Linked DNA regions of Canis lupus familiaris. The protein of the gene in region 2 interacts with the protein of the main gene of each other region in a biochemical or structural test. Links are inferred from orthologs where the notes say so. Each region holds a gene or a part of one and is shown on either strand. Other genes may lie near its edges. The genes, in order: CSRP3, MYOG and SRF.

Region 1 (7,170 bases), on a different chromosome or scaffold from region 2:
CATAACAGCATATATCTGGAATGCAAGGTATAGTCATTACCAATCTAATAATGTTATTATCGGAGCTGAAGCATGTGGAGTCCCTCGGGCCAGGCACTGAGCTTTATCTCATTCCATCTTCACAGACCTTGAGGGTAGGCACTATCACAAACATTGCCTTTTGTTAACTTTTGGGGAAATGGAGTCTTGGGGAAATTATGTTGCCCACGCTCACGTGGCTAGATTGGATTTTAGGTCTTTGACTCCAAAGCTGTGTTCTTATATTAAGATTAGGTACTATTTATCTATTTATGGTTTACTATGTGTTAGTTGCTTTGTACGTACCATCTGTAATACAACAGCCCCACAGAGCAAAGCTTGTCATCTCCATTTTGCAGATGAGAAAACTGAGACTCAGAGGACTTGAGCGACTTGCCTGAGATCACACAGCTAGTAAGTGGCAGAGCCGCAATTCAGACCCAAGTGAAGCTGGGTCTGTATTCCACGTCCCCATTTATAACATGCCAGGGAGGGGAGGAGAGTCAGCACCTCCATTAGCCAAACTTCCTAGTTGATGAGAACTGGGATCTGACTGACCCCGTTGTCTCTCCATGGGACAGAGAGTACTCATGGGCGGGAGTATCAGGGAGCCTGAATTTAATTCAGTAAAATAAGAGCCTCTGTAAGAATCATTGCCATTTAGACACGCAAAGAGCTCCTTTGAGGCTGGAGAGTTCCCTTTCACTCTTGACTTGAGCTCAGCTGGGGATGGTTGTCCATGTGACTGCAACGTTGTGAAGGCCCTTCAAGGATCCTTTGAGCCCGGAGACAGATGTCGGTGTCTGAACAGTGACTGGAGCCTCACCTTGCAGAAATGCTTTCCGGGGGCAATCCCCTCTCAAGCACTGCCTTTTCTCTACTCTCTTAATCCAGGTAGAAGAGATAGTGTGGGATCCTGGAACAGTGCGGGCTATGGAAAGAACCAGGCCAGGCTCTTTTGGACCTTGGGCAAAATGCTCAAAATGTCTGAGCCCCGCGTCCTGTCCTCATGCACAGGAGGACAGATGAGAAGGCCTGCCTTCAAAGGTTGTTTCCAGGTTAGATAAGATAATCATAATAGCTAAGGCACTGTATACACAAATGCATAATACATGGCAGGGTGTCTAATAATCTTGTTGCTTTCCTTATTACTATTATTATTTTACCTTCAGCTTTTAAATCCATTTTCTTAAAACAAGCAAAGCTTTCCTTGCTTCTTCTCTGTGGCCCTCCTGGCTCAGACGGTGAACCAACTCTGTTTCTCAGTCTTTGGCGTGTGCTGCACGGAGGAGCAGAGGCAGCAGGGAGCCAGGCCAGGGAGAGAGCTCCCCCGGGGGTGGGGGCCAGAGGTGACATGTCAGGCAAAGTCCTAAGCCTGTGCCCCAGGACAGCTGCTTCCTCGCTTTGGCAGCCCTGGTGCCTAACACCCGCTGACCTCGCTGGCGATGGGGACGGAGGAGGGAAGCAGCAAACCTGAGCAGAGTCCTCATGGCCCAGGGGGACCATGTCCTTCAGCTCCTCCATGTAGGATACTCAAGGTCAGTCAGTGGCTTTGCCCTAAACTTCTGAACAGATGTGTGAAGTCCCCTATCTATCTGGAGGCCCTTTCCCAAAGTCCGGGAAGCCTAGGCTGCTTATTCCCAGCACAGTACTAAGCCCGAGTATTGACCCCATCCCCCTTTAAGACTCAGGGTAGAGACACCTGCCCATTGCACTATAGCTGTGATACACGGATTAAATCACACCATTTCTGAAATTATCTCTACAGTGTGGCCGAGTTTTACTTGGTTCTCTTTTGGCCCTTGCAACGTGTTTCTGAAGACCATGTTGCACCCCGATTTATCACCTGGCTCTACCATGTGACCCTGGGTAATTCCTTTGCTTCCTTGGACTTTTGCTTCTTCCTCTGAAGAGTGACCTCACAGGACTTTTTGTGGCAGTCAAATAAGTGACTACTGCTCCGCGCCTGCAAGGGCAGTAAACAACCCACAAACCACGCTCAATCCTTTCCCACGACGAGGTGCACGCTGAGGCTCAGAAAAGGCTTCACAGCCGGTGGCCCTCGTGACCGTCCCTGCTCCCCTCCTGCTTTGCCTTCGCTGTGACGAATAACTACAGCTTTTCACCCCTGAAGCCATCACATTTCTCTTCAGGCCTGAGGCCCAACCCTGGCTCCCGTGTTCCCAGACGTCTGAGCAGCAGGCCTATCACTGGAAGTCGGCCAGCCGCGGGAGTTGTGTTTCCTCGGTGTTGGATTCCCTGTCTCGGTCTTTCCTCCTGTGAAGCAACTTAATCACCTTCTAACTCCTGGGCACCTTGTTATCCACTCTGACCTCTGGGCTTCCTTCATCACACTGGTACTTAGCAGGAAACCCTCCCGCCGGCCGCAGGGCCGGGCCCCGGGGGTCTTTTCTGGAAGGCCCCCCACACTGGTACACTTTTAGGTGGCTTCACAGAGTACTTCCTATATTTTATCTCATCTGATGCTAACAGATCCCTTTGGGACGGGGGCCTTAGCCTCATTTCATTGTTCAGAGAATGGAAGCTCAGAGAAGTTCAGCGACGTCCAGAGTGGGGTTTTGAACCTTCTCAATGACAGATGCCTTTCCTTGTATTTCCTTCTTCAGATCCCCAGGATTTCTGAGTGTGTGTTCTTTCAAGATTCTGTCTCCACCTCTTTCAAGAGGATTTTGGCTATTTGCTGGCTGAGTGATCCTGCTCGCTCTTGCCTTCTCTTGCTCCCTATCTCTGCCTCCTTGTCTGTCTCCCCTTCCCCTGCACCCCCGGCCCCCCACTCCCTGCCAATACTTGGGCTCATTCTAATGATTGACTTGTTCAGAAAGGAACGGAAGCTGGAACCAAAGCTGGTAGAAGGAATCCTTTACATTCTCTGGGTAGTAAAGCAATTTTATGTACTTTGTAATGAGTTGGATGTAAGCAGCATTGAGATTTAGGTCCCAAAAGTAACTGAGGACACGGGATCTCCCTGTTTCCCCCTTCCCTGCATTAGTGCTGCCTCGCCCCCCATCCCACCGCAGCCCCAGCACAGACGATGGTCAACACACGCTCACTCAGTTGCGCTGAATTGTGCTGCAGAGAGGCAGAGTTCCTCAGGCCTGTCACCCAGCTGCTCCTCCTCGGGGATGTCACCGGCCCAGGGACGGCAACAGAAATTAGAGGTGGCGGCTCTGATCTTGGGGCGGCATCTCCACTCAGACCAGTGCTTAAAACCACTTCTCATTCTCCATCACACTCATGCCTGTCATTCAAATGCTGGGCTAAAACTCAGAGGAAACTCTGGAAATCACCCCTCACCCTCCGCGGAGAATTTTCCTCCCCTTGAGGAGAGCTTTTAATGGATTTTTCAGTGTCACTGTGTCTTTTTTGGGTCCCTTTTTGAGGGTTTTGATCAATTTTAAATTATTAGAAGCAAGCCTGTTGCTGAACATTCTTGGGATATGAAATCTATTTTATTTTATTTTTATTTATTTATTTTTTTTGAAATCTATTTTAAACCAGCAAATTGCACTGAGCATTTCCCACGTGCGAGACCGTGTGGCGAACTACAGAAATCTCCGTCCTTCACCCACACCTTTTGGAGAGCACAGTTCCTTGTGCTTTGAGCATGGGAAAGCTGGCTTCAGCTGTAGCGTATCTCTAACAACCTCTTTGTAACTGTGCCGTACTTTATAGTTTGGAAAAAAATATATATCCCGGCTTCCATCCTGAGCCTCCCAGAGGAGACCCGAGGGCAGGAAGTTTGCCGAAGTCACACATCCAGTCATTATGTGGTGGCTCTAGGACTGGTGTCACGTCTTTGGGAAACACTCCAACATGGGAATAGTCTTAGGTCCAACATAATCCCTTAGTCGTTTCTCTGTGAGGTTCCCTCAAACCCACAAATGCGAATCCCACCCTTAAGAGTTTTTTAAGCAACTAGGTCCACACCAGAATCGCACACAACTGGAGCCTCTTCACACAGAACCAGAGTGGCCACTGGCACCTGGGACATGACGCACACCCTTCCTCAATGGGACCCTTCAGAGTCCCAACTGGCCACCGAGCCAGCCCACCTCCCACGCCTACCCCGGCCCCCCCACCCCAATGTCTGCTTCGCTCCACGTACCTGCCTGTGTGGTCTCTGTCGGCTCAACTGAGTACGGGGGCTCTCATCCTCTTTAAATACATGGAGGCCGTCCCCAGCACTGGCCTGTGGAGGGCAGGGCGGGAGGGAGGCCGAGGGGAGAGGGTGAATGAGACATGAGTAACACAACTGCTATCAGAGGCTGAAAATAGCCTGTGACCAAAGCCCTGAGTTTTGTTCCCCCCTACGCCAGCTGTGAGGCCCTGAGAGAACGATATTGCTTGGGTTCTGTTTTAATTGCCAATTGCCCATGGCCTTGGGGATCGATTGGTGGAGCATGAACTTCTGATCAAGTGGTTGAAACACCAACAAGAGTGAAGAGGGATTTTTACATCTAAAATCATTTTTCCAGGCTCCTACTCCCCTGACCTTCCTGGAAATCAATGCAAGTTACCTGCAAATGAATCATGAGCCATATCTGGGAGCCCTCTGGAACTCTGAGACACAGGTCACAACACCCGTGAAGAGAACTCAGAGCTAAAAATAAGAGTGATGGGTGTCTGAAATGATACTTAGATAATCTCTTCAAAGAAACTTGGGGAAAGAAAGGTCAGCTAATCATCAGGGTCCTGGCACTTCATGGCCCGCCATCCTATGAAGAAAAGTCTTGAATTACTATGTTCATCCTCTTTTTCTACTTAAGAATTTAACATGGCAGCATGTCATATTTATGACAAATCTTGATAAGTCTCTCTGAAACCATGTTTTCTTTGGAGGCCTAATTTCCCTTTGCCTGATATGTACATATTTTTGGCTTTGATCAAACATCAAGGACACATGTGAATTATAGAATGTGATAGGTGACAAGAAGTTCGGGATTTCATAGACCAATTTTTCATATTGCCACCGAGGAAACTGAGGCACCTACCTTGCTCGGGCCAGGTTCCAGGCAGATTGGCAGGTTCTGGATCGAAATTCAGGTCATCCATCTCTCCAGCAAAGACACTTAACCACCCGCGTTGACCTGAATGTTGAGGTTAAGTGTAAGTAGTACCCAACCAAGAGGTCTATGAAATGCAGCCATATTAGCCTTTCATTACATGCCCACAAAAGCAATTGGTTGAGTAATTGAATATTTCACTGTAAAGAAGGTTGGGGTAATTTCGTAAATATGGACACAGCACAACCTCATATAGGATGTCCTTGATCTACATTTACCTGCAAAAGTATTTGTCATAGAAATGGGTAAAGGGCAAGTGCTCTAGAATGTTAAAGTTAGAGGGGACTTTAGAAGTTTTCTAAGAGAGGAGCTTGCAAACATTTGTGGGTTGGGTTTTTTTTTAGAAGAATAATACCTTTTTTCTATAGATAATCTTAAATGGAGCATCAATAATAAAGCAGATAAAAGAGAAACTTCACTGCTTGAATTAAGTAGGTGGTCTCAGGGTCACATTCACCTAGCCTTTTCCTGAATCCCCTAAAGTGGCTTCTCAACTACTTCTTTGTGGGATGCCTGGCTGGCTTAGTCTGTAGAGCATGAGATTCTTGATCTTGGAGTTGTGAGTTTGAGACCTACATTGGGTGTAGAGATTACTTAAAAATAAGATAAGTAAATAAACAAATACAAATAAAATACTTCTTTGGGCAAGGTTTAAAAGTCACAGGTGTAGCCCACCACTTTCATTTTATAAATATAGATATTAAGGTCCAAAGAAGGGATATCACTTGTTCAAAGGGATATTGCAAATTATTTACAGAGCCAGAAAATCTGGGGTTGAGTCTAATACTTCTGACCTTAAATAAAATATTTTTTAATTAGATAAATAACACTGGAATGCATTTTTACTGTGAAAGACTAAACAAGAAGGATGTATTTAGGGTAAAATGTAAAAGTGCCTTCCAATAATCCCACTCTTTTTCCTAGAGTTAATAACTGACAGTATTTTGAGTTTTACCTAATTTGAGTCATCTTTTAAAAGGAGATTTTAGCCCATTCACATTTATTGTGACTGTGGATATATATAGACTTATCCCCTTCATCTTATTTTATGTTTTATTTTATTTTCAGATTTTATTTATTTATTTGAGAGAGACAGAGATAGCAAGAGAGAGCATGGGTGGGAAGGAGAGGGAGAAGCAGGCTGCCTGTTCACAGAACTCAATCCCAGGACCCTAGGATCATGACCTTAGCCGAAGGCAGATGCTTAACTGACTGAGCCACCCAGGTGCCCCATATTTTATGTTTTATTTTTATAATATTTCTTTCTTCTGGCCTTTTATTGAATTTAATAGTTTTCTTTGTGCCATGTTTTTCTCTTATAATTTAGAAATGATAGTCTCCCTCTAATTTAAAAAACTAATGCCACGATAAATATATATATTTTATTGACATCTAGATTTATTTGGTATCTCTATTCTGTTTTTTCCATGAGATGGGAAACTTATAAGAACCTCAGCACACTCTCATTATCACCACCTCACCCTCTCCCTTCACATTGGCCTTGTACTTAGACACCTGCCCACCACATCCCGCTTGTAAATCATTTGGGATTTTGCTTCCAGGTTGTGATCAGCTTTGTTCATTATGTATCACTAGTTGTTTAAGCCTAATTATAAATATGACTGCTTTTTTCATTCAATACTGTTTCTTGTATATTTTTATATCTTCCATTTTTAATTCTGTGAGTGTATGTGGGATAGAATGTGTTCTTGACGAATTCATTGAGGAAATCTATTGTAAATGAAGTGAATTCTCACATAATTGAAAAGCCCTTTCTAGTAGACTTGATAGACTGCTTTAACAAGTACCCTACACTGGATGGCTTATACAATAGAAATTTATTTTTTCATAGTTCCGGAGGCTTGAAGTCCAAGATTAAGGTGTCAGCAGGGTTTCTTTCTTCTGAAGTCTCTCTTTGGGTTGTAGATAGTCATCTTCTCCACATGTACCCATAGTCCCCCTGTGTGTGTCTGTGTCCTAATCTCATCTTCTTGTAAGGACACCAGTCATATTCGACTAGGGCCCACTCATATAATCTCTTTCTACTTTTAAAGACTCTACCTTCGGG
Region 2 (7,363 bases):
GGGGTTTGGGGCATTTTGAAACCCAAGGACCGCCATGCAAATGAGCTCAGCCCAGCATGCGAATGGACCAAATGGAGTGGAGACGGAGCAGCCAGCGGGGCTGGAGCACAACCGGGCAAGGGCTTCCTCTGGAGGGAGCAGGACGGCTAGGGGAGGCTCAGGTCCGGCAGGGGCCCCGTGTGCCCAAGCCGGCAGGGGTGGGGATTAGGGCCCGACGCCCCGCTGTCAGGTTAGAGCTGATGGATCACGGCTGGTGGCGGAGCACAAAGGCTGTTCTGTGCTTGGCACCAATGTGTTCCCATCCATCAGAGGGCAGCCTGCGTGGGGCGGACGACTGTGCAGGGGAGGGAGGCCAAAGCCCTAGGCGCCCTGCGCTGCGCTGCGCTTCAGCCAGGAAAGAGGAACACGGCCGGTGGAGGAGCAAGCCCCCCACGAGGGCTTCGAGGTCAGGGATGCCCTCCCTCCTGGGAGGCTCCATGCCCCACAGCTGCGCCCGGATGCAGGCCTCGGGCCACTCACTCGGACAGAGATACACAAACACATGGACGGACGGGGATTTCATGAAACCCAGACACGTGAGATGGCCCCAGCCTCCCAGCCCTGCCCTCAGCTTTCTTTCGAAGCGAACATTACACACGCACGAGGCCACACTCACAGCCCGGCCTGATGGCAGGAGGACTGGACCCAACCCCAGGGACTGGCAGGGAGGGGCTCCTGGGAAACTGGGTCTACCCGGGAAGGAGGAGGCCGACAAATGCTTTCTCAGGGTTACGTCTGGGTTACGGTAGGGTGCCCTCGCATTACCGCGATGACAGTGAGTGTCTTCCCATCACGCTCCGCCGCTCGCCGCGCCACACCCCTGCCAGCTGACGTGCACCCTCCTGGCGGCGCCCAGCCTCCCGCTGACCGGGCTGCTCCGACCCTCGCCCCGGGATGAGGGCAGCGAGCTCTCTGTGCAGCGTCAAGCCCCGCCGAGCCCGGTGGGCCCCCTCCCACCTTCACAGACCCGTCGGGACCCCGGGCCGTCCAAACCCTCTCCCTGAGCCCCCGCCCCTCCGCTCCCTCCCCCGAAATCCCACCTGCTGTCCAGCCCGGCTGCCCGCTCCCCTGCAAGCCTCCGCCTTCCACAGAGACCCCGACTTCGGCAGTTATGACTTTCTCGACTGAAGCGCCCGGTTGGCGAGCCCACTCGTTTGTCATCGATCCCGGCCCCCATGCTTCCTGCTGCGTTAAAACAGCTCCCTCTTACACTGCGATTCACCATCCGCGTGTCGGAGTCCACGCTCGCCAACTAGAGAGTAAAGATCCTAGAAATCACAAGCCCAGCTTCCCTGCTTCCTTTTTTAGAGGGTGCGAACGCACCGCCGAGGGGCAAGGCAGATTGTATCCCAGAAGCACGAAACGATGCAATGTGTCCGTTTCCATAGTAACTTCAACATCCCTTCTTCTCTCGGGGCTCATAGGGATGGAGTGTAAACTGAGGCAAGGTTTTTCTTTTTCCCTTGCTTGGCGGGATGCGTGTTAGAAACAGCAATCCTCCTTCAGCCTAGCTGGCCAAAGTGTGGTTGGAACCCAGAGCCCCCGAGCGGCCGCCCTGGGAAGGCCAAGAACCCAGTGAAGACCTCCCCGATCCCCCTTCAACATGCATGGGGGTTTGCAGTGCCCAGTGGCAGCCCCGCCTCATCTCTGTTCCCTGCCCCAGACAGACGCCAGCCTTTTCCTGGCTCCTCACCATGGACCGTGAGCGGCAGGGAAGCCGGGTCCCTCGGGCTCCACTGGGTCCCACCTCCCCCGGGGGGTCGTCTCTGAGTCCCCAGCGCCATTCCTCCTCCCCGTACTGTCCTTACCCTGGTTGGAACTTCTAGCCTCAATCTCAGATGTCAAGTGGAGGGGGGATCAGACTTAGTTCAAGAGTTTCTAGGGAAAAGAGTGGGACCAAAGAATGAAGAAGGGGGCACATTGCCGCCCAAAACCCAAAAGGCCGCCCTGTGCCAGAGGGACAGACGGGGAAGACAAGGTTCACTCGGTGGGGAGGGGGCGGGGTAGCCTGTAAGTCCTGATGTTGCTTTGCCCCCCACCAGCCGCGTGGAAGGGAAGCCCCTAAGGTCCCCGCCCAAACACCGGGGAGTCCTTCCTGCCTCCACTTCCGCCCTCGCCGGAGACCTGAGGTTGTTAGATGTCCAGGCCGCTTTGGAAACCCACTTGCGTCTGCGGGTTCCCTCTAATCCCTGGACACCGAGCCCCCCGAGCCCCAAATCTGAAGCCCTCTCCTGCTGCTGACTGCTGGGGCCTGGGCCAGGGCTGTGCCCGCTGACTCCTCAGGCCCCCTCCAGCCGACCCCGTGCCCCTTGTGCCCTCCCCTTGCCCCCACCCCACTTCTCTGGGGCTGGCAGGGACGGGGCAGGCGGGCCGCCCAGCCCCGAGTAATTGAAAGGAGCAGATGAGAGGGGAGCGTGTGTCCTCCCCCACCTCCCCTGCCTCCTGGGGGCCGCAGAGAAATGAAAACTAATCGAATTACAGCAACGGCCTCCCTCCCGGTGCACAGGAGCCGCCCGGGCCGGGGCAGGCGGGCTGGCCGGGCGGGGGCTGGGGAGAGGGCAGGGGAATCACATCTAATCCACTGTAAACGTCTTGATGTGCAGCAACAGCTTAGGGGGGGCTCAGGTTTCTGCGGCATCGGCTATATTTATCTCTGGTTCCATGCCAGCGGGGAGGGTTTAAATGGCACCCAGCAGTTGGCGTGAGGGGCTGTAGGAGCTTGGGGGCCGGTGGCAGGAGCAGGTCCTTTCCGACCCCATGGAGCTCTATGAGACGTCCCCCTACTTCTACCAGGAGCCCCACTTCTATGACGGGGAGAGCTACCTGCCAGTCCACCTGCAGGCCTTCGAGCCGCCGGGCTACGAGCGGACTGAGCTCAGCCTGAGCCCCGAGGCCCGGGGGCCCCTCGAAGACAAGGGGTTGGGGACCCCCGAGCACTGCCTGGGCCAGTGCCTGCCGTGGGCGTGCAAGGTGTGTAAGAGGAAGTCGGTGTCGGTGGACCGGCGGCGCGCGGCCACGCTGAGGGAAAAGCGCAGGCTCAAGAAAGTGAACGAGGCCTTCGAGGCCCTGAAGAGGAGCACCCTGCTCAACCCCAACCAGCGGCTGCCCAAGGTGGAGATCCTGCGCAGCGCCATCCAGTACATCGAGCGCCTGCAGGCCCTGCTCAGCTCCCTCAACCAGGAGGAGCGGGACCTCCGCTACCGGGGCGGGGGCGGGCCCCAGCCGGGGGTGAGTGGCTGCTGGTCCCTCGCAGCTGCCCCGGGGGGGTGGGAGGCCGGTGCCCGCGCGGGGCCGGGGGGGGGGCGATGCTGCAGCAGGCGCCGGGGGGGCCTAGACACGGCGGGGGCCCCTCGGCAGAGCCGGGCTGCCCAGCTAACCCGTGTCCCTTTGTCCTTCAGGCCAAGCTGGGGGCGGCGGGGGGACCTGGAGGCGGGGGGGGGGGCGGGCGTCAGGAGGGAGGCGAGGGTGAGTCCGGAGCCGGCCTGGGTGGGGGCGAGGGTGAAGGGGGCGTGTGGCCCAGCGCCCCGCTTGCTGCAGCCGCGTCCCTCACCTCTGAGGCTCCGGAAAACCAGGGACCCCTTCGGCTGGGTGGCCTGGGAGGACAGGGCCACGGCCAGAGACGGGGGGCAGGAAAGGCCCGGAGGCAGGGGGCGTGTGGCCAGCGGGGGCACAGTCTCCGACGAGGCCCTGGGGCCCACCCCCCACCCCGCGGCGGCGACAGAGGGACGGAGGGACGCCAGCAGTGGCCGCGCTCTGACCTCGGGCTTCGCGTCCTGCAGGTGCCCAGTGACTGCAGCTCCCACAGTGCCTCCTGCAGCCCCGAGTGGGGCAGCACCCTGGAGTTCGGCCCCAGCCCCGGGGGTGAGTGAGCCCCGCACCCCTCAGCCCAGGCCTCTGCCTCACTTCCCGCCCCAGGCCTCTCCCTGCCGAGGCTGCCTCCCGAGGCCCAGGAGCCGGGGAGCCGGGGAGCAGGCCAGGCCTCCTGCCCCTCCGCGCCCGGCGGTCCCCAGGGTGCACAGGCGGCTCCACTCACACCAGCGGGGAGGTCACGGGCGGGGGAGGGGGGTTGGGTGCTCAGCAGGCACACGGACGTACACGCACACCCGCACCCCCTCCCTGCAGGCCCGGGAAAGGCAGGGCCTGGGGAGCAGGAGCCCCGGCTCCCACCCAGCCACCATCCTGGAGCACCCATGCCACTCCGAGGGCCCCGTCACCCCCGGGTAACACCCTCCCGTCTCCCCGCAGACCACTTGCTCGCCACCGACCCCTCGGACGCCCACAACCTGCACTCTCTCACGTCCATCGTGGACAGCATCACGGTGGAAGACGTCTCTGCGGCCTTTCCGGATGAAGCCATGCCCAACTGAGGGCGCCCGTGAGCGTCCCCCCCTACCCCCCGCTGGCCGCAGACGCCTTCCTAAGCCGGGCTGTCCTGATGCCAGAGAGCCAGCCCGGGGCTGCCAAGCGCCAGTCTCCCCCCCCCATCCATATAAGGCCAAGTCACCGTCCCCCCAGAGGGGTGGCCGCTCTCCCAGCTGACTCCTGAGGGCAAGGAGCAGCCTGTCTCCAGGGAGATAAGCAGGGACCAGAGGGCCCCTCGTGTGCCCCGTGTGTGCCCCAGGTCAGGGGCCAGACTCAGGAGCTCCCCTTTGTTCCTGATGCTCCACCTCCTCCCTCGATAGAGACTGCGAGAGGCGAGCTGGTCCTGACCAGGACGAGCTGTGCGCCTCCCGCGCTTGTCCCTCCCGATGCCAGCGGCTGGGCTGGGCCTGCCCTGCACTGGGAGACAAGGGAGGGGGACGATCCTGCTCCTGGGTCCCGGGGGGGTGGGGTGGGGCAAGCTTTGCAGTGAATCCTGGGAAACTTCCAGTGGTTTCATGTCTTGTGTTTGCGATGCTGCCATCTGACCAAGGTCTCCTGCGTACGAGTTGCCAGGGACAGGCAGGGAGGGGGGCAGGGGTCTTGGGTGATTTCCTTTCTTAACTAAGCATCGTGTGGTTTTGACATTGTTTTGTAATTTTTTTTGCTAACTTATTTGGATTTCTTTTTTAAAAAATGAATAAAGACTGGGTGCTAGGAGAGCGTCCTGTGTTGATGTCGGGGGGTGGTGCCCGCCAGCCCGGCCGTTCCCCTCGATGGTGTAGACACAGCCCCAGGGTGGGGAACTCCCAGGGCCTGCACCTGGTGGGGCTCTGAGAGCAGCTGAGGCAGCACTTTGCTGGTCCCACCAGCTGCTGGGAGCCCGGCTCCTTACAAAGGCCACTGGGTGTGGCCCACGGGGTGGGTGAAGGCCAGACCCATGGACGCCTCGAGACCTGGAGAAGGGCCCGGCCGGCACTGGGGGCCCCCCTGGTTCGTGGACACTAGACCGTAGACCGTGCACCGGGTATATGAGCTCCACCTTAAACCCCAGGACCCGTTCCCTTCCACCCATGGGCATGCCCTGTGCCCAGCTCTCATCCCACAGCCAGCTTGCAGAGTGATGGATGGGAATTTGTGGGTCTCCCGTCCCTCACCCCTGCCTCTCCTCTGGCCTGAGGGTCCAGGAGCCCTGCAGGGGGGAGGTGAATAGGTCGGTGTGATTGATTGGGGTCAGACGCCGTCACGTCCGTGCAGGCCACCCAGTCTTTCCTCTCTGCATCCTGCCAGGCCCCTGCCCACGGCTGGAGGATGGACGCGGTCATGGGTGCAGGGGCAGGGCCCCAAAGGACAGTCAAAGGGAGGGAGGCTGGGCTTGTGTTCATGCGCCGCTTCCTTCCAATGACTGGCCGAAGGGAGGAGGTGGGGGAGGGCGGGGAGTGAGAATACAAGCTGAGGCTGAATGGACTGCGCACGTCTATGAAAGTCTTACTAACTCCAACTGCTTTAGGCTGAATTTGTCTGATTTATTGCAAATTATAAGTTTGAGAATCATTAAGGAGTCTGGGGATCCAGAGCGTGACACGGTCCGGCCCCCACTCAATTCTTCGGGGCCCCCGATGGTGGACGGGAGCCAGTTTTACCTCCCGCCGGGCCCCCGAACCCGGGCCTCTGTGCGTCCATCAACCAGCCGGGCCCTGTGCGTCCATCTGCCCCATGGTGGGAGCTTCTCCTTGAGCTTGTGTCATTGGGTTTACAGTCCCCCGTCTTCTTGGAAGGACAGGAGGACACCCGCGTCCTGTGCACGATGGAGCACCCTGGCTCGCTGCCCTCGGAGCCGAGCAGAGCCGCGAGCTGGTGCAGATCACATTCACCCCCCAATGGCTGCTGCCAACACTGCATGTGCCACGGGCCCGGCTCCCCTCAAGCTCCCCTCCGCTGCCCTGGCATCTGCCCAGCTCCTGGGGGGATACGATCCCTCCACCTGCCGTGCCCTGGTTCTCACCGGAGGGCTCGGGGGAGCCCAGGACCCGCGTGTCCTCTCCACCACGCAGCTGATAGGCTCGGGAGCCTGGGCCTGCTTCTCCCGTTGATGGTTCTTGTTGCGTCAAGTGGAAACGAGGGCTCATACTCCTCCTCGGTAAGCGCGGGCCGTCCTCAGCGTGGCCCTCAGGTCCACGGTCCCCGACCATTGGCGGGGGAGGGAGGCGACTGTCTACCCATTTCTTCTTATTTCTCCTTTGGCCTTTAAGTCTGTAAGCGGCAAAATAAATAGATAAATAAATAAATAAATAAATAAATAAATTAATTAATTAATTAATTTTTTAAAAAGTCTGTAAGCCGCCCACCAGAGCGACAAGTTGCTGGCACCTCACAGGTGTGACCGGCAAATTGGCCACACGGAAGCCTACCCTCATTCATTGTTTGCACAGAATAAATTGTCACCAACGCCCTGGGCCTTTCCTAAAATGAACGCTTTAGGCTTCACAATTAAATTACAGGTACTAAGACTCCAATTAATGAATAATGAGCAGTTGTTCTTCAGGGAAATTAGCTTCAATCCGGTCTCCAAGGGAAGCGCCGGCGATTAAATCGAGCCAGGTTAACCCGGTGTTACCTGGTGCGGGACTTCAGGGAATCCGCTAGAACGAAAAGCGAGGAAGTCCAGTGTCGCGCGTGAACAGGACGCTCGTCCCGAGTGACGGCAGCGCACCTCCCAGGCCATTTTTTTCTTCGGCTTCTATTCGTTGCTTGTTTTTTTTTTTTTTTTATAAATTATTTTTTATCGGTGTTCAATTTGCCAACATATCGCATAACACCCAGTGCTCATCCCATCAAGTGCCTCCCGTCAGTGCCCGTCACCCAGTCACCTCCACCCCACCCCCGCCCACCTCCCCTTCCACCCCCCGCCCACCTCCCCTTCCACCCCCCCTAGTTCGATTCCCAGAGTTAGGGGTCTCTCATG
Region 3 (6,576 bases), on a different chromosome or scaffold from region 2:
GAGGGGGAAGACAGGGTGAGAGGGAACACTGGCAGTTCCCTCCGACCCAGGAGTTCCTGGAGTCCCAAGGGGACCGGCAGGGCAGGGCAGGTGGCCCCAGGAACCTGCTCTGTGCACAGGCCCAGCTCTCAGGAGCTACAGGGACAATAGGGCATCCTGTGAGGGAAGAAGCCCCATCTCCCCAGGTGGCTCCCTGAGGGGCACGGATAGGGCTCTTGTCACCCAGCCTGTGACAGACACGGTGCTGACAGCAGGTCAGCAAGGAGGCTGGGAGAGGACCCCCACTGCTTCCTCGGGGGAACACGGTGCCTAGTCCCACAGAGGCCTGTGTGTGGGAAGGTGGGGCACGGTCCCATTGGATAAGCTAATACTCATGGCAAACATGGAGCCAAGCTGGCTAGGGGAGTCTGAGGAGGGAGGACAGCCCCACCATCAACAGAAAATGGGAGGTGGAGCCAGAAGGAGGGGAGGGGGAGGGAGGATGGGGTGGAGGGCAGGCTGGCCCATTTCTTTGGCTGGAGTGAGAGGGCTCAGTCCTGTGGCTGCCCACTCCTCCTCCCTGCCTCCCTCCTGCGGCCCGTCAACGTGTGTGTAAAGAAAACGTGAAAAGGCAACAATAAATAAGTGGTGCCATCCCTTGGGCCATCTGTCCAGGGTGGCAGGGCGGATCAGTCACTCTTGGTGCTGTGGGCGGCGTCCAGGTTCACCACCTGTAACTCGGTGAGGTTGCTGCTGCTCCCAGCCTGCTGCCCTATCACAGCCATCTGGAGGGAAGGGGGTGTGTAAGGAAAAGGAGGGCAGGAACTGACCAGCCAGCTCAAGCTTCCCCCTGCTGGCCTGCCTGTCCACCACGAGCCTGACTGGGAAAACAGATGGGCCTCCTGGCTTAGGGAATCTTGGCTTAGACCAATGGGTAAATGAAATCCCCAAAGTCAAGAGAAGGAAATGGCTGGGTTGGCTGAGGTGAGGTGAAGGGTGCCCCCACACCTACCTGGTGAAGCTGAACTGCAGAAACAGGGATCTGCACTGTCCCAGATGGTGCTGTCAGGAACACCTGGGGAACACCACCTGCATTGGGAAACCACAGGAGATACTCAAACTGCTTGCTCAAGAGAAACTTCCAGATACTAGTTGGAATGGAATGCATGAGTATCCTAGTGGACAGCAATGGGTGTGGGAATGTGTGTGCAAGCATCCGTGTGTGTGTGTGTGTGTGTAGTTTTATGTGTGGGCATCCTTGTTTGGGTATGGGTATATGAGTGTATATATCTATGTGTGTATGTGGGGGGCCATTTGGATATGTGGGTATGTGAGGGAGGAGGACATGGTCCCCCTTAGCCCCAGCCCACCACTCACCTTGCTCCTGGACCTGGCTGTGGGACACCTGCATGGTGGACGGCGCCTGGGGGAAGGCATTGAGCACGGTGAGGCTGCCGTCAGCCAAGCCCGAGGTGGGTGCATACATCACCGCATGGGGACTAGGGTACATCATGTGGCCACCCACAGTTGTGGGCACAGATGACGTCATGATGGTGGCAGGCAATGTCACTGGCAAACACAGACACACATTAGGGAGGTTGACACCGGTCCCTACTGATCTCCCCCATCCCACCTCCAGGAGCTCCAGGGCTCCGGAGTCCTCCTGCCATTGCCCAGGTCAGAAGCTTGATAAGACTTGTTCCTCTGATCCCTGTCATCGGCTAAGAAAAGCCTTATTTTTGTTTAAATACCAACCTTCTGTTTGAGCACCAACCTTTAATTGTATCCTATCACACTGTACTATTCAACTGTCTATCTCTCCAATTCTTCGTTCCAAGACCATAAGGTCCTGGGAGAAACAAGAATTGCAATGACTGACCCACTCCAAGGAAACTCAGATACTCCCCTTTGAGGAGGTTCCATTATCCCATTTTTTATTTCTCACCGCTCCTCTCTCTTCCTTTTTTCTTTTTTCTCCCTCTTCCTAAACGTGTGGCTAACAAATTCATCTTTTCAACATCAAAGGTTAATATGCATAAGATCACCTGGGATCTTATTAAAATGCAGATTCTGATTCAGTAGGTTTGGGGATAAAGCTTATGAGTCTACGTTTCTATCAAGCTCCCAGGTGATGCTACTTCTCTGTCCATAGACCATATCTTGTGTAACAAGGTTGTCAATAACAAGAACTTAAAAATAATTTAATTTTGAAAGTGTTTCATCATTTCTGAAATGACTAGAGACACTGAGCAGAATTATAGCTACTCAAAACCTAGAATACCCTCCCACAAGGAGACAAATGCTCTATAAATCTTTCCTGATAATTAAGCAAACATGTGTCCTTGGGAAGTAACTTCTCCTTTCTGGGCCTCCAGCTTTTTATCTGAATGAGAAGAAGGGTGGCTCCGATGGTCCCTAATTTCTTCCTGAAATCCAAAGCCCTACTGCAGGGCAGGATCCCAAACCCAGCCATCCTCACTTGACTTTCCCATAAGGATTAAGATAAAGGTTAAGCCAAAAGCCTCCATCTCCACATTAAGAAATTCTCTGACCTTAGTTATGGGAGGGGTATTGCTGGGCACCTGCTCCTAGGCCTCATGAAGGACGAAGGGCAGGGAGAAGAGAGCTTCAAGCTATACCTGTCCCGCTGGAGGAGGTCTGCGTGAGGTCTGTGCTGCTGTCGCGAGAGGGAGACGCTTGCTGTGGGGCCTGGTGCACCTGAATGGCCTGCACTGGGACCTGCTGGGCCACTGCCCCTCCTATAAGACACAGAGACTTACTCATGCTGTCCCACCCGGCCACCATTGGCACCCACAAACACCCCAGGCCCAAGGTCTGGCATGCTGCTCCCTAACTCCCATAGTTTCCTGGGGGCTAAAGAGGCTTTTCATGTCCTGAATCTTGTCTTCTTGGGTTTCTGCACTCTGCACTGGCCCCTCCCACCTCCTTCCACCCCTAGGCCTTGCCTCTGCCTCCTTGGTTGATATAGGAGCCGGCACCGAACCATCAAGAACATGACCTGTCCTCCAATCAAGGTAGGGAAGTGGTAGAATGTCTACTGTCCCTGTGGCAGGGGGACACAGGGCTAGGCTGGCTAGACAAGGCCAGAGGGTATGGTTGAAACTTATTGACAAGGACAGTAGGGGTCCCAGTGGGGAAGGGCATGCCTCCCAGTGGGACCCAAGTGGCTTCTCTCAGGTTCTGGCTGGCCCCTGTCCACCCTCCTTCTGAGCAAGGAAAGAGGTTCCCCTTGTGCCAGCCCTAAACCCACTCTTGGCATGCTCATTCTGCCCCTTGTGACTCACCAGGCATGAGGGTAAAGCTGGTAGGCAGCTGCATGAGGCCCCCAGAGGAGACAGGGCCACTGCCTGTACTCTTCAGCACAGTCCCGTTGGCACTGCTGACAGCGCTGGGGCTGACGCTAGCAGACACTGGTGCCAGGTAGTTCGTGATGGGGAAGGAGGGGCCGCTGCTGACTTGCATGGTGGTAGAGGTGCTGGGTGCTGTTTGGATGGTGGAGGTGGTACCCGGCAGGTTGGTGACCGTGAACGCCTGTTTCAGTGTGTCCTACACCCAGAGTAAAGACACAGCAGTGAGCCTCTACCAGACTCTGCCCCTGCAGCTTTGTGTGACTGACAGCCCAGACTGGAACCAGTGTGCTTGGGTTCAAACCCCAGCTCTGCCATTTACCTGCTGTCTGACCCCGGGCAAGTTACTGAGCTGCAGAGCTTCAATTTTCTGTCCATAAAAGAAGACTTACCGCATAGGTGTTTTTAAGATAAATAGGTGAATATAAATAAAGTGCCTGACACCTAAAAAAAAGTAATATGTATTTGCTGCTCTTATGATGATGATGATGTCATCATCATAATTTCCTGAATTCTGTGTCCCAATGGACTATGAAAATCACATTGGCTGCGGAATCAGGACACAGGGGTCTATTCCCAGCTCTGGTACTGACCATCTATGTGATCCTGGGGAAATCACTTCCTCTTTCTGAGCCTCAGTTTTCCTGGGGGGGAAATGAAGGGGACTAGGCTACTATGTCCTCTTTAAAAACATCCTTCTAGCTCTGACTTGCTAGGTTTCTGAGATACGGACGGACGAGAGTTTTTCAGGGAACTTAGGGTTTCAGAGAGATCTTGGGTGTTTGGCAATTAAGCACTCATGTCAAATTCTTAAGATTTAAACTACCAAAGGAATTAATTCCTCCAGCAAAATTCCCTGAGAATAAACGAGCCCTACTGCTTAAAGAGTTTGCAACTACAGATGATATGCCGGAAAGAGGGGGAAAACCTGGAGCACTGACTCTTCCCTCGGTGAGCCTTTGTTCTTAGAAGGGGAAGGAGGAAGCCACGAGCTGAGAACCAAGCCCAGAGAACTGAGGGGGTTCAAATCCTGGGGGTGGGTCAGCGCGGGATGTTTGCTAGGCAGCCGAGTTCGAAGGCCCTGATTGGTGAAGGCGTTGCTAAGGCAAACAGTGCCGCTTCTTCCGATTGGCCAGTTAGTGAAGGGGCACCCGGAAGGTGGAGCTCCCTAGAGAAGCAACGGAGGAAGCCCCGCCCCCTCTCCTTACCGGGAAAAGGAAGGGGAAGGCGTAACTAGGGCCGGCATCCCTAGCAGCCGCGAATACACTCCCTAAACGTGCCCAGGCCCGGACATCCTGAAGAGGTAGGCGGCTGGCTAGTTAGGTAGTCTCCAGCCCAGTCAACCAGCCCGCCTCCCGACAGTGCTGGGTTCCCAGGACCCTGGGGCCCACGAGTGCTTCCTTCCTACTCCCTGGCAACCCAGCCTGCTGCGAGGGCAGGGCTAAGCTACGCCCCCGCCCCCAGCAGGGAGACAGCTGGCGGGAGGAATGCAAGGGCCCTGCCAGGCGGGCGGGCTGCAGGCGGGAGGCCGGCCTGGAGCCGGAGCCGGCCTTATAAGGGCACGGAGGCCGCCCGCTTATCTAGGGGGCCGGCCTCCTGTCAGGATGGCGAGGATGGACACCTGTCCCCTAGGATGAGGGGCACTAACCCGGCTCCGTTCCACATTAGTGGGCACCTAACCTGAGTGAGGGAGAGAGGTACCCCCTCCCCTCTCTGCCGGTGAAGCCCCTCCCCTTCCTTCCCCTCAGATAGGCGACCCAAACACACCTTGGTCTCCCCACTGCTGTCGGACTCCGACACCTGGTAGGTGAGGTCTGTCTCTTCAAAGCCCGTGGCACTCATTCTCTGGTCTGTGGTGGGGTCTGAGCGGGGTGGAGAGTCTGGCGAGTTGAGGCAGGTCTGAATCAGTGCCTTGCCAGTCTCACTGGTGATCATGGGCTGCAGTTTGCGGGTGGCAAAGGTATACACATGGCCTGTTTCACTGGCCACCAGCAACAGCACCTGTGTCCCTGTCAGCGTGGACAGCTCATAGGCCTGGGGAGTAGGGGGAAGGAGATGGGTAGATCAGCCAAACTTTTTCTACCTTCCTTGGGAAGTAGGGAAGAGAGGAAATACATAGTGATCTCAAGCCTCTGCTCCCCACCCAGAGACCTTCCTCTCCAGTGACTGGGGCAGGGGGAGGTATCTATCAAGATATCTGAAAGAGAGTTGGAGAGCAGAGAAACTACCCCATGCTACTCCTTTGAGAAGCAGCCACTGACCTGCAGATACCCCAAGCAAACACAGACCCCTAGTGACAGAATGTATAATCTCAGAGGAAACGGAAGGGCCCAGGTAGCTGCTCCTGAATACAGCTTGGTGCCAGGAGTCTCACAGAGAGGGCTCCCACCCACCCACTCTTCACTGTCATAGGAACCAGACAGAATGAAGTTGCTATATCACTGGAAGTCCCGTAAGACATTAGGGATAAGGGGTCACATTAGTGCTAAACTGTCCTCATGTTTCTTCCCAGAAACTGCACAGGTCCTAACCTGTTGCCATTTTGTCCTCATGCCCTATCATACTGTGCTACCAGCTTTTTTCTTTCCTTGTCCTGATGCAACAGTGTCTGGAGTGATGGGAGATGGGAGCTAGGTTAGCAGCTACTACCCTGCCATGAACCCAGGGAAGGGACCTACAAAGGTGGCCCCACAGATGGCATCCTTACTCCCAGAAAAGTTCCACAACCCACCTTGGAAGCAGCTCTGGTTTCTATATGGGACAAAAATAAACACCAGCCAATGTCCCCAGGGTTCTAGCTTCTTGTTTCCCAGTTCATCTGCTTCCATCCCTCCCCCTCCCTTTCCTCTCTCCCCTTTTCACTAGATAGCTGGCTAGAAGAGGAAGAATTCCCAGGTACCTCTGCAAACCTCCCTGCCTTCCCCAAAACTCCATGCACAGACACTCCCTAAGGCTGGAAATCCCACTTGTCCCAAAGGCAGATGGTCCTGAAGGCTGTCCTGCAGAGTGCACCGGTTTCCAGTGGATGTGAAGGAAGACACATGGCCATCGTGGGACTCAGTGCCTGCTGGTCAGAGCAGCATCAGTTCTCCTGCACCCTGCTCCCTTACCTGGGGCTCCTGAGCCCCATTTGGTCATCAGCCCTGCCTCTCCTTCCAGCCAGCAATACTTGTGGTGCCCACCTTCCTCCTACACAAGCTGGCTCATTGTTGTTATAGAGCTCCAGCCT

Evidence for each region.
Region 1: the proteins of MYOG (region 2) and CSRP3 form a complex in vitro, tested with the Homo sapiens proteins (2 studies listed by BioGRID and IntAct, with this or other methods). The link is inferred for Canis lupus familiaris from reciprocal best matches to the Homo sapiens genes MYOG and CSRP3.
Region 3: the proteins of MYOG (region 2) and SRF form a complex in vitro, tested with the Homo sapiens proteins (2 studies listed by BioGRID and IntAct). The link is inferred for Canis lupus familiaris from reciprocal best matches to the Homo sapiens genes MYOG and SRF.

The regions. Positions count from the first base shown.
Region 1 is NC_049242.1:41,994,717-42,001,886, forward strand, and holds the start of CSRP3 (cysteine and glycine-rich protein 3), read right to left. Parts: upstream 4,304-7,170; 5' UTR 4,145-4,303; intron 1-4,144. UniProt on the Homo sapiens protein: Positive regulator of myogenesis. Acts as a cofactor for myogenic bHLH transcription factors such as MYOD1, and probably MYOG and MYF6.
Region 2 is NC_049228.1:240,317-247,679, forward strand, and holds MYOG (myogenin), read left to right. Parts: upstream 1-2,733; 5' UTR 2,734-2,796; coding exon 2,797-3,267; intron 3,268-3,818; coding exon 3,819-3,900; intron 3,901-4,284; coding exon 4,285-4,406; 3' UTR 4,407-5,105; downstream 5,106-7,363. UniProt on the Homo sapiens protein: Acts as a transcriptional activator that promotes transcription of muscle-specific target genes and plays a role in muscle differentiation, cell cycle exit and muscle atrophy.
Region 3 is NC_049233.1:11,854,747-11,861,322, reverse strand, and holds part of SRF (serum response factor), read right to left. Parts: intron 6,418-6,576; exon of another isoform or gene 6,325-6,417; intron 5,382-6,324; coding exon 5,115-5,381; intron 4,651-5,114; exon of another isoform or gene 4,499-4,650; intron 3,547-4,498; coding exon 3,285-3,546; intron 2,739-3,284; coding exon 2,619-2,738; intron 1,549-2,618; coding exon 1,357-1,548; intron 1,069-1,356; coding exon 992-1,068; intron 765-991; coding exon 669-764; 3' UTR 1-668. UniProt on the Homo sapiens protein: SRF is a transcription factor that binds to the serum response element (SRE), a short sequence of dyad symmetry located 300 bp to the 5' of the site of transcription initiation of some genes (such as FOS).